3 linked regions of the Xenopus tropicalis genome follow. Each later gene encodes a partner of the first gene's protein in a complex. Links are inferred from orthologs where the notes say so. Each region holds a gene or a part of one and is shown in the gene's direction. Other genes may lie near its edges.

Region 1 (5,551 bases):
AAAAGAATAGGGGGAAAGTATGTTTAGCCCAAACACTATTCACAGTGTAAAAAAAATATGGTACACTCTGGCTTTAAGGAATTCGTTGCTTTAAGAAGTTTTCTCAGTCTTTTGCTTTGCATTCTTTCTGCATTAAAAATGATAGTTTTTCAACTGGAATCAATCAATAACAATATTGATTAAATCCACTATAACAGAGTGATTTTTCAGGGTAATTAGCAGATCCATTGCAATAATTAAGGATTGATCAGAACTGGTCATTTTATAATGATCATTAGTACTTGTGGCCACTGATTTGTGTTTGAGTCTATATCAGGGGTGGGCACACTTTTTGGCTCTCGGGCCACATTTACTCACCCCCGGGCCCGACCGGGCCAGGGCGGGCCCCCTTCTCTGTTTAATTCCGGCACGCCAATGACACCAAGTCTCGCGTGATGAGACTTGGCGTCGGCGGCGGGCCGGATTAAAAAGGCAAAGGGGCCGGATGTGGCCCGCGGGCCTTAGTTTGCCCACCCCTGGTCTATATGCTCCTTTGTTTTACATGAGCGAAAATATGTATTAATCAATAATAAATGGATTGCTGCTTTCTTTTACACCTACAATGCTTCGCTGTAAAGAGTATATTTAAACAGAAATAGGGAGCTCAGTATAAAGGAGCTCCACCTTTGCCCCGACGTGTGCCACTGTGTCTCAGGCTTACAGATAAGGAAGAGTTATATATATTTAAAAATGAAGGGTTTCTGGGAATGGTGTTTTGGCTTCCTTGAATTCCTTCTCCTTAGACAATTTCTCTGAAGAATGAGAAAGTTTATATATTAAAGTAATTGGCCAATATGGGACACTGTTTTTTGTACTCATAAGATATCATCTAAAATTTATAAAAACTTGAAAATAAAAGAGTTAAAAAAAAAAAAAGGATAAATAGAAATTACATTTTCCTAAATTAACATTGACATTGGGGTCACCTTAACTATTTCAAGGGCAACTTCAGTGTTTCAGTAGTACAAAAAGATATGTACAGATGTGACTTATTTTAAGTTGTGTGGTCATTTATTATTATTATTATTATTATTATTATTAAATACACATTTATACTAGGGATGTACTGAATCCACTTTTTCGGATTCGGCCAAATCCTAATTAGCATATGCTAATTACATTCGGAAGGGTTAAATGCAGCATGTGGTGAAAAATTTTCAACTTCCATGTTTACATGACAAAAAGTCACATGATTTTAAAGATTCGGATTCGGTTCAGCCAGGAGCATGGATTCGGCAAAATCCTGCCAAAAAAGGCCGAATCCCAAACCGAATCCTGCATTCGGTGCATCCCTAATGTATACGCTTAAACCTCGATGGTATGTTCCCTCATTTTACATTTCCTGTATATCACTTATCTATTTAATTGTTTTTTGCTTTGTGTTTGTAAAGTTTTTTCTGTCTTTATGAAGCATTCTTAATTTTTTGTTTTTTGTCCTTATTGATTTCATTTTTACTTTCCAGGATGAATTCCATTCACGTCTCCGATTTAATCGCCGAGGATTGGTTGCTATGGCAAACGCTGGACCTCATGATAATGGAAGCCAATTTTTCTTTACTCTTGGCCGTGCCGATGAGCTTAATAACAAGCATACCATCCTTGGAAAGGTTAGATGATGCCCATTGAGGAAGAATTCTCTTAAAACGAGCAATTATATCCAGATGCCAGATGAAAGCCTCTTCTGTCTCCCTCTCCCTTTTTTTCAAGAATGCTTCTATAATGCAATTAACTAATCATTGAGCTTCTTAGTTCCAGTTCGGATTATTCAGAAAATTTCCACATGATGGAAGAAAGTCCTGTACTATTTCTTTCTGTCTTTTTATGGCTCAGATTCATTGTTACCCTTGATTTCTTTCCTATTTTAATTTTTTTTTTCCAATAAATCATCGTTTAACTCTGTACATCAGTTCAGTTGCCCAGTAGCTGTTCCTTTATTAGGTTCAATTATAGATGAGCTGAAACATTGCTTTAGGAACACTATTGGTGATATTATGGATTGTGCGTCCTTGGTATGACTTCACAGTCCTGCTTTTATCATTTTGTTTTCACCTTAGTATTCGCTCTCCTGACTTATCTCAGAGCAACACATGCCAACCGAATCCCAGCTGAAGCTTTCTGAATATAAAACTAAATTGCGTCTTTACAGGTGACTGGCGACACCATATATAATATACTGAGACTAGCAGAGGTTGATATTGGAGAGGATGAGAGACCTGTCAACCCACACAAGATAAAAACCACAGAGGTGCGTTTAATATTTTTTTTTTTACGTTTGCAATGGAAAAATGACTTTTTCAGGGAAGCATGTAAGCAACATGAAAGTTCAGTAAAGTTTATTTTGCTCATCAATTAACATGAGAGAAAATGATTTGGAATTATTTCTTAGGGTGACAGGTTCCCTTTAAGTGTGTGTTTTTCTTTTTCATATTGATGTACCTGCTTTATTTTCATCAGTATTTGCCTTCTTGTGCCATCCTGTTGTGTAGAAAATATGAATATATGTTCTGCTCCTTCTGGTGTCCTTCTGCTGCCTGCAGACTGCTTTTGTCCAAATCTTGAATTTCTGCCTTCATAGAGTAAAGGTATTTAATGGGCATCACAGAAATACAGTACAGGTATGGGGCCTGTTATCTAGAATGCTGGAGACCTGGGGGTTTTCCAGATAAGGGGTCTTTCATTAATTTGGGTCTCCATACCTTGAATCTACTGAAAAAAAATATTTAAACATTAAATAAACCCAATAGGATTGTTTTGCCTCCAATAAGGATTAATTATATTTTAGTTGGGATCAAGTACAAGGTAATGTTTTATTATTACAGAGAAAAAATTAATCATTTTAAAAAATTTGAATAATTATCTTATGGAGTCTATGGGAGATGGCCTTCCTGTAATTCGGAACTTTCTGAATAACGGGTTTCGGGATGACTGATCCCACGCCTGTACTCTAATTTTGCAAGGAAATGCTCCTTGTAAGCCCTATTACAACCACGTTGGGAGGGAGTTTTATGGTGCAAGCAGCCATGCTGGGGCACATTCATGCATGCAATGAGCACAGGCCCCCTAGCTCGATCACTCTGTGCATGTGTTAGATGTAGTATTCGAGGACTCATTAACCAGGTTAATAGTATTGTTACCCCCAGCCAGAGTGTGGGCTCTATTAGATCGCCCCTCTGGTGGGAGAACTTATTTCTCTATGAAAGGGTCATGATATTTATTATCTAGTAATTAAAGGTCACAGCAATTGCTGCCTAATCTTGATAACAAGTCACCATTCATCCAACTATCTAGTAATTTAGTGATATGTAATAATCATCTCCTTGTATGCTGCATATATTTAAGGGGCCATTTACTAACATTCATATTTCTTCTTTTTCGTGTAAAAAAAGCAAATATTTTGCAATTTGTTATGGCATCAAAACCTCAAACGATACAAATTTTAAAATACATAATCTAAAACCTGTTGAGGTCATGTGGAAGTCAATGGTAGTTGTTCTAGGCAAACTGTAACAAGTCATAATTCGTGGCTTTAGATTTTTTTTGGGGGGGGGGGGGGGTTTGACAAAGATTTGCATGAAAACATAAATAGCACGAAAAATGGTGGTTTTCGTGTTTCATCCCCCATTTTAATTGTTTGTGTTTTTTTTTTTTTAATCCGGATCTTTTAATAAATGACTAGACATTTGTGATTTTTAGTGGAAGTAAGTTTATTTGTGCTTCTTAGTGTTATTTGTCCCTCTTAGTGTTTCCTACTCTTTAGCAATGCGATGCTGTCAGTGTATTCTTGACACTAATCATTTCCATTCCTATAAAAATTGATGTATGAGCCATTAGTTCTGGGGAGCAGATGTGTCATGAATGATATTTTTCAAACTTAGCCTCTTTCTTAAATTGAAAAACATTTGCGACTCATTACACTGGAAGGTGACTTTTCTCATATAGATGGATTTTATATCCTATTTCTCAGTTCCAATGAATGTTACTTTTTTTACTCTTAGGTGCTGTTTAATCCTTTTGATGACATAGTTCCAAGAATAATTAAAAAGTCAAAAAAAGAAAAGGAAGAAGAAGAGGAGGCAAAGAAGACCAAAGCAAAAGGAACAAAGTCAGTATATCATCTGTTTATCCTTTTGTGTGCCGTGGAGATGTCATTGTTTTTTTCCTTATCAGTGATTCTGGATCACAACTTTTATCTTTTATCAGCCCCACCACTGGCACCAGTCTCCTACCTTGCCAGCACCCAGAAGCGTTGTGTCCGCCTGGGTGCAGGTACATGTATGGGATATTGGTTCAAAATGTGATTTTTCTCTTTTTTTCGTTTTTGCCGATATGTGCTGTGTGTGCCTGCACCTGGGTGAACACAATGCTTTCTGCTGTGGGCAAGATAGGAGGCTGATGCCAGCGGAGGGATTGACTCTCGGCCTGCATTTTTTTGCAGGTCGAGAATCAGATCCATGTAGTATCAGCGTAAGGCTAGTGCCACACGGAGCATATTCTCTTCGCTCTGCCACTTTAAAATTCTTCAAGTTGTGCCTGCACTTGAAAGCACTGCATCGGCCTGGGCGCACACATACGCGCATCCTATTTCAGTGGGTGCCGCTCGAGAATGCAGTTTCAGGCTGAAATACGCTGCACCTGCCTGCACCCGGAATGAAACAATGCTTTTGGAGCAGGCATATTTTTGAAGCAAAGGGGCAGATTCTCACCATGTGCTTATTCGCAGGCCAAGAATCTGCCCATGTGGCACTAGCCTAAACGAGAAAGTCAGCCTGAAGTAAACATTATTAGAAGTTACACAGTTTGGTTTCACAAGTGATACAAGATAAAATTGGAAGCAAAAATTATACGAGGGAGAAAGTACTGAACACAATATCAAATGGGTTTTGTTTGATTACGTTTAAAATATCCATTTACTTGATAGATCTGAGCTAGAAAGATGAAATTTCCGAGCAATTCAAATTCGTTGTATTATAAAAAGTCAAATCACGCAACATTAATAGACAAATCATTTATAAGTGAATGGTCATTTATCTCATGTTAGCCTTATTAAACATGAATCTCTCACCTCAACCTTTGAAAATGTGCCCCTGGTAGGAAAATGTTATACGGAGATGGGACCTGTTATCCATACCACATAGCTAGCGCAGAGAGCACAATTGCAGTTTTCTGCATGTCTAAATAACTAAAAGAAACAATTTTCTGCATACATGAAAAATTAAAATACTGCTGCTTATTGCCAGCCCTGGGAAATGCCACCTCAGGCAAAGTTCTCATCTTGCCTCATAGCTATAATGGCACTGTAAATGAGAGCATGCAGAAACAGCCAGTGCCCTCATAGTTTGTGTTCAAGAGAAGTTAAATAATTCTATTTATAACTAGTTTGCTTCTGCCTTTTTTTCCTTGTAGGAATTTTAATTTGCTTTCTTTTGGTGAAGAAGCTGAAGAGGATGAGGAAGAGGTTAATGAAGTCAGCAAGGTACATTTTAAATCTGGTTATAATAAGCTGAGCTCTGAG
Region 2 (6,089 bases), on another chromosome or scaffold:
CCCTCCACCTAACTTTCTCATAATTTAGATGGGCAAATGAGGCGCACTGATGGCCTAGTATTCCCTAATCTTAACACCTACCCTATGGCCCTCAAGCACACACTACACAGTGAAAGTACATTATCTGGGATAGCAGTATGAATACAGTGCCTACTTTGTGTTTTATGACCCAGAACCCATAGCTTTATTATCAGGCAATTGTTGTTGGGGGAGAACGGGACAGCTTTTCCTATTCCCCCCGGTGCGGGGCCCTATTAGGCCCAATTGGCCTAAGGCTGGTCCTGTATATATACAAATTTTTGATTGTTATAAGTATGATTGGAAAAATTTCTGATGGGTGTAAATTGTGTGAAAATTTGTATTGTGTTCGTACGAAAATATTGTGGTTGCGAACCAAAAGTTATTCAATTTTCGTATCCAAACGATCGTAAATGGCGCGTAAACCTTTCTGACTTTGAAACTTCAGTGCATGATTCGGAAAACTTCCATAGGACTCAATGGCACTCTGCAGCTCCAACTTGGCCAAAAGAAAGTCACGATACCCAAGCTTGAATGAATTCCGAAATGTTTGTAATCATTGCGAAAAATATGACTTTTGCATAAAAATTTATGCAAAACCCGAATAAGTCGCGTAATTGTACCGATATTTTCGTGGTCATTACAAAAAGTTCTAAACTTTACAACAATACAAATTTTTTTGCAATCGTGGTCATCGTGCTTCGATAAATGTGCCCCTATGGGGCTGATTCATCAAAGCATGAGTTCAAATCTCGAAATGGGTATAATTCAGATTAGATACAATAATTTCTCATGATCGGAAATGTCACGAAAATGCTTACGAAAAAATCGTATTAGTCACGATAATATTGTATCGGCGATCCGAAAGTGACTAAATTTTCATATCCGAATGATTGTAAATGGCTTTGATCCTTCTGTGCATGATTTTGGAAGCCTCTCATAGGACTCAATGGCACTCTGCAGCTCCAACCTGGCCCAAGGAAAGCCTCCCATAGGGCTCAATGGCACTCTGCAGCTCCAACCTGGCCTAAGGAAAGCCTCCCATAGGGCTCAATGGCACTCTGCAGCTCCAACCTGGCCCAAGGAAAGTCTCCCATAGGGCTCAATGGCACTCTGCAGCTCCAACCTGGCCCAAGGAAAGTCTCCCATAGGGCTCAATGGCACTCTGCAGCTCCAACCCGGCCCAAGGAAAGTCTCCCATAGGGCTCAATGGCACTCTGCAGCTCCAACCCGGCCCAAGGAAAGTCTCCCATAGGGCTCAATGGCACTCTGCAGCTCCAACCCGGCCCAAGGAAAGTCTCCCATAGGGCTTAATGGCACTCTGCAGCTCCAACCTGGCCCAAGGAAAGTCATGATACCGAAGCTTGAATGAATCCGAAACTTTCGTACTCGTTACGACAAATACGATTTTGTGGCACAAATTGTTGCAAAGTACGAAAAAGTCGCAAAAAATACGCGCAGTACAAAAACTATTCGGAAGCAATCGTACTTTGATAAATGTACCCGTGTGTGTTTCACATCATGTTACAGAAGCCCTAAAAAAAAAGTGTGTATGATGTGGAAAGTGTCCGTTCCTTGGTGACAGGCTGCCGTCAGTAATCAGACTACTATTTAGCAGGGCCCTCACCCCAGGGAATTTCCTGCACCAAGTAAAATAGAAACTCAACAAAGAATGGACATGAAAATACTGCAGTTACCACTTATTTTTTAACAATGGGTATTGGAAAGAGCTTTCTCTTATTAAACAAAAAATATTTAGCGGTTTAAAGTCCCTTTAATTTTAAATACACTGGTACCTAGGAAGAAGGGCCTATTTGTGTAAATGATTAAATGTAAAGGACTGCAATATAGCTACACCGCTTATTACAGCCAACGCTGCTATTTTAGCTTCTCCTTGCGACTCTTAGTCCCGTTTGTCCTGTCTCGGCTCCCGTACATATCACTGTGCGCTGGCTAGAATAGAGAATGCTGGGAAACCGGAAGTGTATTATGTCGTGCAGTGTGAGCGGTATTGTAAATAGAACACTGTGCGTTTAATCCAATAAGCGGGATTGTTCTTTATGTAATTTGATTTGGGTGGCGGTGACCAACAAGCGGTTGTTTATTCTAAGTCTTTACATTTTCCGATCTCCCCGAGAAGCTTTGGAGGGGGCAGCTTGGTATCATGAAGAGTAGCGTGGCCCAAGTCAAAGTAAGTTTTCTGCTTACATTTACCTTATGGTTACAGAGTGGCTTTATCCTGGACTTTCAGCTTGAGATCCTATAGCGAATGGAAAATTACAACTTGCAGTAACCTCTAACGCTGAGGATCAAGGGAGCTATAGTTCAGCAACTTATGTGGGGCACTCAGCCCAATGCCTTGAGGGTCATAACATTTGAGTTCGGGATATTTAGTCCAAACTATGCCGGAACTAAATTCCCAGAGGATCATTATCTTCCTTATGACAGGGAACTGGTTGACGTCTCTACAGTTAATAAAGGTGGAAAAATTGTATAAAAAAAAAGACAGAGGGGGGGGGGGTCAAAGCTCCATGTTTTTTTTCTGCCCACAGTGCCCCATGCCATTAATGTATTATTTACTTATATAGCACAGGCATTCCTCTGCGCTTGACATATAATGCAGTATTCACATTAGTCACTGCCCCAGAGAAGCTTACAATCTAAGGTCCCTATCAATTCATGCCTAATAATTTTATCGAGACCCCGTTAACCTGCTGTATGTTCTTGGAGTGTGGGAGGGAACCAAACTACCCATGCATAAACGGGGAAACATTTTATTTATTACCCAAGTAAGTCCCTTTACAGAGCACTTACTCCCCAGGGTTTCTTCTCTCTGCATAAATCTAGCGCTTGCAGAGCGGGTCCTGATGCAGGCAGTGCCTCCTGACACACCATACATTATGCCTCTGATTGACATTAAAGGAGAATGCAAGTCAAAATTTAAAAAGCATACTGCCCAGTAGTCCTATTGTTTAGTAAAAACGCCACACTTTTGGCTCACCTAATCAAATATTTACTTGGTTACACTTACTCATATTTTCTAGAACAGGCAGCCATCCCTATTTCCCCTTCCTTTCCCTCCTTGCATCATACTGCACATGTGTTTCATTCCCTCCCCCCCCCCGGCAGATCCACTTCTGATTGGCTGGTGGGCATGTGTAGCTCAGAACAGGAGACAGGATCAAGTTACACACATGCTCAGAGAATAGGAAGGCTGCCGCTGGCACCTACAGGAAGGGGAGAGAGATTTTAGTGATGTCACTATAGTCTTCACACTGCTGTAGGCTGCCGAATCCCAAAATACTGGCATCCCTAGTAAAGGCTAAATGACTCTGAAACCACAGAAAATCAACAATGTGTATCACTTTCATTGTATACTTCATCTTGGGAGTTAATTTAAGGGCCTTTAAGTCAGAGCAGGATGTTCTATGTGACTTGCCAGCTTTTGTTGAGTTACACCTGCCAGCAGCAGCAGCAGATTCTGGTTTCAAAAACTGCTGGGCCTTGTGTTAGAGATTATTTATTATGAGTTTGTTTACACAGGGAAGTTTGTCATACAACAGCAGCCTGCAGCTTTTACAAGAGGCACCAGGCAAGCACAGTATTCAAATGTAATACTAAGCAACGTTCCAATATACATTCATTAAAATGTGTCAGTGATGTTACTGTTTTTATGTAAATGTATTTGCTATTAAAATCAGTAACTGTTTGGCTGGTGCATCCTATTCACTCCTGGCTCTGACTCCCAAAACAATGTTGCAAGCCACCTGATTTACAGAACTGAAGGAGACCTGACAAATTGTTATAAGAGTCAGAAAACAGAAAGAGGTAAAAAACTTGCTTCTTGCTTCCTTTCCAAATAACGTTTTAATGATAAAACCCATGAAAATGATACATTTATGCTTCAATGTTGCCTGTTATTGCATTTTCTTAGTGCAAAAAATGATACTTTTTGGCTGGAGATAACTCTGGTCAGGTTATCTGCCATTTTCTGGAATAAAAATGGCAAATACATCGGTCACAAACAGATATATGTATTTAGAATCTTGACGTAATATAAAATATACAGGTATTGAAGAGCAGGGCCACTATTGGAGAGTGTAGGGATTCTGTAGATGAAGACCCGAGATAGAAAGAAGCAATCTATAGCTCACAAAAAGAGTAGAAGTTTATAACTAGTTGGCAGGCTTTGGGACAGACTAGTGGCTTGGCTGTGCATGTGAAGGGATTCTCTTCTACTCCCTGAGCAATAGACAGAAGGGCAGACACAAGTTATATGCACAGAGATACCCCTTGAATTTGGTGGTTGCAGCAGAACAACATCTGATGTACAGGTATGGGACCCTTTTATCCAGAATGCTCAGGATCTGGGGTTTTCTTGATAAAGGATATTTCTGTAATTTGGATCTCCATACCCTTAAAGGGGAAGTAAGCCTTTTATCTTAAAAGCCCCTAAAATGACTTTGTCTGTTGCAGACTCTGTATCACAAACAGCTCAACCTCAGCTCTCTCAGATACTTCCTAATCTTAGGTTGAGCTTCTTGTGATACAGAATCTGCATCGGACTGAGTGCAGAAAGAAAGGGATGTTATACTGGGGCTGTATAGAGTCTTATTTAGAGAGAGAGGGGGAAAAAAAAGGTTTACTTATTTTTTGTATGCTAATAATCATTTAAATGTTAAATAAACGCAATAGGATTGTTTTGCCTCCAATAAGGGGTAATTATATCTTAGGTGGAATCAAGTACAAAGTACTGTTTTATTATTACAGAGAAAAAGGGAATCATTTTTAAAAATTTAAATTATTTCATTAAAACCGGCCATTCCCCTAATTCAATGCTATCCGGATAATGGGTTTTTAAATTATGAATCCTATACCTGTATTGTTTTCCACATTTCATGACAAGTTTAAGTACAATGTATCAACAATGTACAATGTATCATTTCTGGCCTTCCTGCATTGGGACTGTTCATAGCTCTTGTTTATAAGGGACTAGTTTGTTGTGCTTGTATTTCGAATGTAATATTCTTTCTGAATTTTTCAGGGTGCTAATTATGACAAAGTAGATACTCGTAGCTCTTCTGAAAGAAGTTCCTCATCAGAGGACAGGTAAGAATGCAAAGTGCTTGTAACTACTTTTGCTACTCAATTTACAACTGAAATTGAACGTATGGTGTTGGTGAACTCAAATATTGTTTCTAAAATAAGCAGTAGGAACCTTTTTTAAATTATGAAGCAACTTGGGCCTCTAGTGTATTTGGATTTCATCATACATTAAATATCTTTTAAATTAAAAGTGCAAATTCTAAGCAAAAACATCCGTTTTACATATATGAACTAGAGCTGGGCGGTATGACCAAAAATTTATATCACGGTATTTTTCAAAATTATATCGGTGTCACGGTATTTGACGGTATTTTTTTTTCCATGCATGATTAGGCGTTAACCCCATTTCCTAATAAATTAGAGAATAATTACTGCAGTATTTAAAATCAGAGTCAGGCAAGCGAAGGATCGGCAACAGAAAGTCGTAAGGTAAATCAGGCAGGCTTAGTTTCCCAGGCAAGGCCGCAGACAACATGGCACAGGAGGAGGCGCTTGATAGCTTTAAATACCCCCCACGCATGCGCAGAACCGGCGCCGTCAGCGCGTCACGGACGTGCACGCTTTGACATGTACGTGCGCACGCACGCAAGGAGGCGCTCGAGACCAGGCCGCACGGGTGAGTACCCTGACACCCCGGTATTGCGGTATCTGAAAAATAAATATAGTTTTTAAAAAAAAACACCGGTATTCGGTATTAAACGGTATATCGCCCAGCCCTAATATGAACCAATGCAGACATGTATGGGATATTTACAAATGATAATCTTTTGACTCTACAGGGCCACAAAGCCTAAAACTCAGGGTCGTGCCTTAATCCTATTGGCACACATGGCGTATGACACACATCACATATGCAAAAAGACTCAGAGGAACATAATTATTGCCCCTTTTAACTGTAGTAATGCAGAAAATTATTTGTGCTTATTCAGCAAGTTGCCCATAAACTTGCATTCCTTTAAAGGATA
Region 3 (6,267 bases), on another chromosome or scaffold:
CTGGAGACAAATGGCATTTATTTTGTGATTGGTCCAATTGACCCCCCCGAATACATTGACAAAGAGTGACAATTGGACCATTTGCCATTTCTTCTATGGGCATTTCGTGGGAATTTCCTGCAGTGCAGTTGTGTAAAGGGGAAGTGGTGGCTCGGAAAGAGGGATTTCTCAATCTCTGGCCACATCCCGGCCGACTGTCGGCTGCGCAGGGTGCGTCTAGTTTCCCTGCAACTTCCCCAGGAGGGGTCACTCAGCAAGGCTGCCCTTAGCTTAGCTGGGGATGTACCCAGTACCCTGCCAGCCTTACCCACTGCTAATCCCCCTGCCCATGTACCCAGTACCCTGCCAGCCTTACCCACTGCTAATCCCTCTGCCCATGTACCCTGCCAGCCTTACCCACTGCTAATCCCTCTGCCCATGTACCCAGTACCCTGCCAGCCTTACCCACTGCTAATCCCTCTACCCATGTACCCTGCCAGCCTTACCCACTGCTAATCCCTCTGCCCATGTACCCAGTACCCTGCCAGCCTTACCCACTGCTAATCCCTCTGCCCATGTACCCTGCCAACCTTACCCACTACTAATCCCTCTGCCCATGTACCCAGTACCCTGCCAGCCTTACCCACTGCTAATCCCTCTGCCCATGTACCCAGTACCCTGCCAGCCTTACCCACTGCTAATCCCTCTGCCCATGTACCCAGTACCCTGCCAGCCTTGCCCACTGCTAATGACTCTACCCATGTACCCGGCAGAGCTTCCCTCTTTGAAGACAGATTGTAGGGAAGAGAGGTGGGAGTCTGGGAGGCTGGTTAGTAGGAGATTGCAGTAATCTAAGCGAGAAAGGATAAGGGCATGGATTAGTGTTTTAGCTGTTACTTGTGAAAGAAAGGGGCGTATCTTGGCAATATTGCAGAGGAAAAATGGCAGATAACCCCAAGGCAGCGTGCAGAATTAACAGGGTTAACGGTCATGCCATCAATAGTCATGGTGAAAGGAGGAGAAGTGATATTTAAGACCAAAAGAAGAAATAAGGTCTCCTAAAGAGAGAGTGTACAGGGAGAACAGCAAAGGGCCAAGCAAAGGGCCCCACACTGAGCTGAACCCCCACACTGAGCTGAGCCCCCACACTAAGCAGAACCGGGGTAGGGGATTGGTTAGTAAGAGCGACAGAGAAGGAGCGGTTAGAGAGATAGGAAGAGAACCAGGATGCAGCCTGATCCCGGATACCCAGAGAATGGAGACTTTGTATAAGGACTGAATGTGCCCTGACAGTGTCGTGCACCAAATTCACCATATTTTCATTTCCCTTCATGTTTATCAGGCCCACCGGCTGTATCTGAACCCAATGCCTTCCTGATAACATCCTGGGGGGTTGGTTCTAGGGTGGGGCAGGTAAGGCATGTCCCCTGGGGGGGGGAGTAGAGAACTGTACAAAGGGCATATGAGACTAACAGCTGTTAGATATTACCAGTTATACACAAGGGGTCTCCAGCTGTTGCTAAACTGCAACTCCCAGCACCCTACACCCTATAATAGGAAGGTACCGTACTCACCGTGACGCCGTATCTGAGTGCCAAGCCCTGCAGTGTGTCCCCGGGCTGGACCTGGTGCTCCAGTTTGCGGATCCGGGCCGGTGAATAGGGCGACTGGACTAGGCTGCCATAGGAACGGGTCCTGGTTCCATGGAGAAGCCCAGAGTCTCTGTGCCCAGAGTTGGATGCCATGGCTTGTGAGCTCTAAAGGGCAAGTTAACTATACATTGTCTGACTGGGCAGAGGTGGAGGCAGAAGTGGAGGCAGAGATGGAGTCCCTGCAGCCCTCAGTCACATGCTGGGCTACTAATTCAATCAGACTGAAAGAAAAAGGGAGAATTCATTAGTATCACATGACAGCACTGACAGGGGTTTGCCCAAGGGGGTTGGGCTGGGCTAAAAGCTGCCCCAATACCCCCAGCACAGACCCACAGCCCTTCCAGCTGCCCAGCACAGGCAAGTACCCAATAATACACAGCTCACTGCTGGGCAGGGGTGACAGGAGCAAGGCATGCCGGGAGCAGTAGTGCAGCACAGGCTCTGCCCCAGGATTCGCGGCTCTCACGGAACTACAAGTCCCATAATGCCCGGACTCCGCCTCCTCCTCTCCGGAAATAAACTACATTTCCCGTAAGGCCGCAGAAAGGAGTACGGTGGCCGCGCAGGGTTACAGCTCTCAAAGGGGGCGCTACAGGCTGGGCTATGTCGTTTAAACGGGATGGGGATGATCTGAGCCAGCTGAACGTTCTAAAGGTACGGGGTGATACCCATACAGGGGAGGGGAGGGTGTCTGGGGGGGGAAGGGTAGGGTATGGTGTCTAGAGGTGGGGGGAAGGGTGGGGTAGGGAAAGGTAGGGTGCCTGGGGGTGGGGGGAAGGGTAGGGTGTCTGTGGGTGGGTGGGGTAGGGTGCCTGTGGGTGGGGGTAAGGAAGAGTAGGGTGCCTGGGGGTGGGGGTAAGGAAGAGTAGGGTGCCTGGGGGTGGGGGTAGGGAAGGGTAGGGCGCGTGGGGGTAGGGAAGGGTAGGGTGCCTGTGGGTGGGGGTAAGGAAGAGTAGGGTGCCTGGGGGTGGGGGTAAGGAAGGGTAGGGTGCCTGGGGGTGGGGGTAGGGAAGGGTAGGGCGCGTGGGGGTAGGGAAGGGTAGGGCGCGTGGGGGTAGGGAAGGGTAGGGCGCGTGGGGGTAAGGAAGAGTAGGGTGCCTGTGGGTGGGGGTAAGGAAGAGTAGGGTGCCTGTGGGTGGGGGTAAGGAAGAGTAGGGTGCCTGGGGGTGGGGGTAGGGAAGGGTAGGGTGCCTGGGGGTGGGGGTAGGGAAGGGTAGGGTGCCTGGGGGTGGGGGTAGGGAAGGGTAGGGCGCGTGGGGGTAGGGAAGGGTAGGGTGCGTGTGGGTGGGGGTAAGGAAGAGTAGGGTGCCTGTGGGTGGGGGTAAGGAAGAGTAGGGTGCCTGTGGGTGGGGGTAAGGAAGAGTAGGGTGCCTGTGGGTGGGGAAGGGTAAGGTGTCTGTGGTTTTGGTTTGGGGTGTGGGTAGGGTGCCTGTGGCAGAGTAGGGTGCAGTTGTAAGGGGGAAGGGTTAATTTAATATCCCATTTCCTGTCTCCCTACAGAAGAGGCGAGTGGCGGATCTGCTGGCCAGTTACATCCCGGAGGATGAGGCTTTGCTTCTTAAAAATGGCAGGTAAGGGTCTCTCCACTGATTGGTTCCCTCGGTGTGGGCCCCTGGGAGGGCTTGCTTCTATATACCCTTATATTCCGGGGCCCCTGCCTATCCCTCTGTGTAACTGTGTTGTGTATATAACAGCTACGCTTGCACCGTGTGCCATCACCGGCCCGTCTTCAGTACCATCGATATGTTGTCTGTGCACAGAAGCGGGAAGAAGCACTTAGCCGGTAAGTTACTGACTAGAAAAGAGATCCATTTCCTGTCTTATGACTTCATTTCCTCTCCAGATTTCTGACATAACGTCCTGTCTGGCATTTGCGGATCCGAAGACTTGCCTAGGGATGTTCCCCTGTTGATTTATTAATTATTTATTTTTGTATTTATAACTTCCTGTCTGACTTTGTGACTTAACTTCCTGTTATGACTTCATTTCCTGTATGCCATTTTAATGTGGAGCCTGTAGCTACTGGTCTCTGCCCCAATACCAGGTTTTATTCTGTCTCCTCCCCCATTATCTTTCTATACAGGCCCTCTTCTGTTCATATACCAGTTTCTCATTCATTCTGCTGCCTGGTTGCTAAGGTAGTTTGAACCCTAGCAACCACATAGCTGCGGAAAACTGCAAATAATAAAAAATGAAGACCAATTGCAGATTGTCTTAGAATATTCTCTATATCATACTAAAAGTTAACTCAAAGGTGAACATCCCCTTTAATGACTGGTCACATGTCTATAATACATATTTGTGCAATGGGCCGCTGACTCCCTCTCAACTCTCCTACAGGTCAGCAGCGGTATTACGGCAAGAAGCTGGAGCATAACAATGAGATCCAGAAGAGGCGCCATTTTGATTTTGTACAGGCAGAAGATGCAGGAGAACAGGTGGGCAGATTTCTCTTTCTCCAGGCTATTGGCTATTAGGGGGCTGTTCCTGCTGAATTGTGCTTAGTACAGGGGAATCCCTATGTGCCATAGTTTTATGGTATCTCTCTGTACAGGCTATGAGCAAACTTAGGGGGTTGTTCCTGCTGAATTGCGCTTAGTACAGGGGAATCCCTATGTGCCATAGTTTTATGGTATCTCTCTGTACAGGCTATGAGCAAACTTAGGGGGCTGTTCCTGCTGAATTGTGCTTAGTACAGGGGAATCCCTATGTGCCATAGTTTTATGGTATCTCTCTGTACAGGCTATGAGCAAACTTAGGGGGCTGTTCCTGCTGAATTGTGCTTAGTACAGGGGAATCCCTATGTGCCATAGTTTTATGGTATCTCTCTGTACAGGCTATGAGCAAACTTAATGGGCTGTTCCTGCTGAATTGTGCTTAGTACAGGGGAATCCCTATGTGCCATAGTTTTATGGTATCTCTCTGTACAGGCTATGAGCAAACTTAGGGGGCTGTTCCTGCTGAATTGTGCTTAGTACAGGGGAATCCCTATGCTGCCATAGTTTTATGGTATCTCTCTGTACAGGCTATGAGCAAACTTAGGGGGCTGTTCCTGCTGAATTGTGCTTAGTACAGGAGAATCCCTATGTGCCATAGTTTTATGGTATCTCTCTGTACAGGCTATGAGCAAACTTAGGGGGCTGTTCCTGCTGAATTGTGCTTAGTACAGGGGAATCCCTATGTGCCATAGTTTTATGGTATCTCTCTGTACAGGCTATGAGCAAACTTAGGGGGCTGTTCCTGCTGAATTGTGCTTAGTACAGGGGAATCCCTATGCTGCCATAGTTTTGAGTAACTTTTTTTTATTTGCTCTCATATCTGCCAGCGTCCACCAGGTCCCGCCCCTTTGCTGGTCCAGACAAGGAAGATTACCCAGCATGCTCTGCTGAAATCTGCCCCGTACAACAGCTGCTGCTCTCACAAGTAAATCAGTTGGGGCTGAGCATTATGTGAATGATTGATATAATAATGACCCATTGCTAATGGCCCCCGGATTTCTCTGTTCTTATGGCCAAACCATATTATCGACAATTATATTTCTCTGCTGTTTCTCATTTGCAGATCAGTAGCCAATAGCAGGAAAGTCTATGATTGCCATTCCAGCCTACCCACAGGCTTAAACCATCCCCAGTCTGGGCCCAGTGCATCTGATGCCTCCCTACATTCTCCCCCTAGTGGACACTGCAGCAGCCCTACAGGTGAGCCATTCGCCAGAGAGGATTCTGGGAGATTAAGATGACAACTGGACACTTTATTTATAGGGAGCCAATACCAATCTTAGCCAGGCTGCTACTGTATACACAAGTAAATCTGATCTGTATATAGGGCAAACCTGTGCTCCTAATGTAGCCAAACTACAACTCCCAGCATTACTGTGAATTGCACTCATTCATTCTCAGCCTCTCTTCGTTCCCCTATCCAGAGATTCCCAAGCAGGAGGTCCCGGCAGAAAAGCACGGCAGTCAGCACAAGAAGAAGGGCGAGGAGAAAGTCAAGAAGGAAATTCCAGACCCAGAGAGGGAGAGGACTATGGAGCACTACCTGCGACTGAAGAGGTAGGAGTTACCTTGCTGGGATTGCTAACCCCTGTTGGGGCAACATAGCAGCTCCCAGTAGGTATCAGAATAGCACTCAATAGTAAGAAATCCAAGTCCGGCTTGGGACTCCTCCAGTTACATGGGAGTAGGAGAAACAATAGGTTAGCTGAAAGCAGTTCTAATGTGTAGCGCTGGCTCCTTCTGAAAGCTCAGACTCAGGCACACTTTACTGCTGCGCTGCAAGTTGGAGTGATATCCCCCCCTTCCCTCACCCCCAGCAGCCGATCAGCAGAACAATGGGAAGGGAGCAAGATAGCAGCTCCCAGTAGGTATCAGAATAGCACTCAATAGTAAGAAATCCAAGTCCGGCTTGGGACTCCCCCAGTTACATGGGAGTAGGAGAAACAATAGGTTAGCTGAAAGCAGTTCTAATGTGTAGCGCTGGCTGAAAGCTCAGACTCAGGCACAGTGCACTGAGATGGCGCCTACACACCAATATTACAGCTACAAATACATTTGTTGGTTCAAGAATAAAATGTTAAATGGCAGAGGGAATTATTTGCTGTGTAACAGTGTCTCTTCCCCACAGCTCTGGGTGG

Evidence for each region. The genes of interacting proteins can lie anywhere in the genome.
Region 2: the proteins of cwc27 (region 1) and cwc22 are in contact, whole or in part, in a crystal structure (PDB 6YVH), measured with the Homo sapiens proteins. The link is inferred for Xenopus tropicalis from reciprocal best matches to the Homo sapiens genes CWC27 and CWC22. Residues at the interface, in NP_005860.2 of Homo sapiens: Arg381, Glu382, Asp383, Gln384, Thr385, Leu386, Leu388, Leu389, Phe392, Lys393, Lys395, Leu396, Thr397, Ile400, Glu412, Asp415, Asp416, Glu417, Gly418, Trp419, Met420, Ser421, His422, Val423, Leu424, Gln425, Phe426; in NP_001362958.1 of Homo sapiens: Leu239, Arg242, Lys243, Tyr245, Arg246, Asn248, Asp249, Lys250, His270, Glu271, Val272, Leu275, Glu276, Thr279, Leu280, Leu281, Glu283, Arg284, Thr286, Asp288, Ser289, Val292, Val307, Ser308, Pro309, Arg310, Gly311, Thr367, Met369, Leu372.
Region 3: cwc27 (region 1) and scnm1 share a complex: the UniProt entries of both Homo sapiens proteins name them as parts of the minor spliceosome. The link is inferred for Xenopus tropicalis from reciprocal best matches to the Homo sapiens genes CWC27 and SCNM1.

The regions. Positions count from the first base shown.
Region 1 is NC_030677.2:188,218,072-188,223,622, reverse strand, and holds part of cwc27 (spliceosome-associated protein CWC27 homolog), read left to right. Parts: intron 1-1,502; coding exon 1,503-1,646; intron 1,647-2,185; coding exon 2,186-2,284; intron 2,285-4,034; coding exon 4,035-4,141; intron 4,142-5,442; coding exon 5,443-5,512; intron 5,513-5,551. UniProt on the Homo sapiens protein: As part of the spliceosome, plays a role in pre-mRNA splicing. Probable inactive PPIase with no peptidyl-prolyl cis-trans isomerase activity. As a component of the minor spliceosome, involved in the splicing of U12-type introns in pre-mRNAs.
Region 2 is NC_030685.2:63,083,263-63,089,351, forward strand, and holds the start of cwc22 (pre-mRNA-splicing factor CWC22 homolog), read left to right. Parts: upstream 1-1,961; 5' UTR 1,962-2,182; coding exon 2,183-2,209; intron 2,210-5,062; coding exon 5,063-5,127; intron 5,128-6,089. UniProt on the Homo sapiens protein: Required for pre-mRNA splicing as component of the spliceosome. As a component of the minor spliceosome, involved in the splicing of U12-type introns in pre-mRNAs. Promotes exon-junction complex (EJC) assembly.
Region 3 is NC_030684.2:137,908,302-137,914,568, forward strand, and holds the start of scnm1 (sodium channel modifier 1), read left to right. Parts: upstream 1-2,139; 5' UTR 2,140-2,234; coding exon 2,235-2,285; intron 2,286-3,131; coding exon 3,132-3,202; intron 3,203-3,325; coding exon 3,326-3,414; intron 3,415-3,971; coding exon 3,972-4,069; intron 4,070-4,956; coding exon 4,957-5,054; intron 5,055-5,192; coding exon 5,193-5,329; intron 5,330-5,553; coding exon 5,554-5,686; intron 5,687-6,257; coding exon 6,258-6,267. Other genes in the region: lysmd1 (lysM and putative peptidoglycan-binding domain-containing protein 1), read right to left, coding at 1,554-1,724. UniProt on the Homo sapiens protein: As a component of the minor spliceosome, involved in the splicing of U12-type introns in pre-mRNAs. Plays a role in the regulation of primary cilia length and Hedgehog signaling.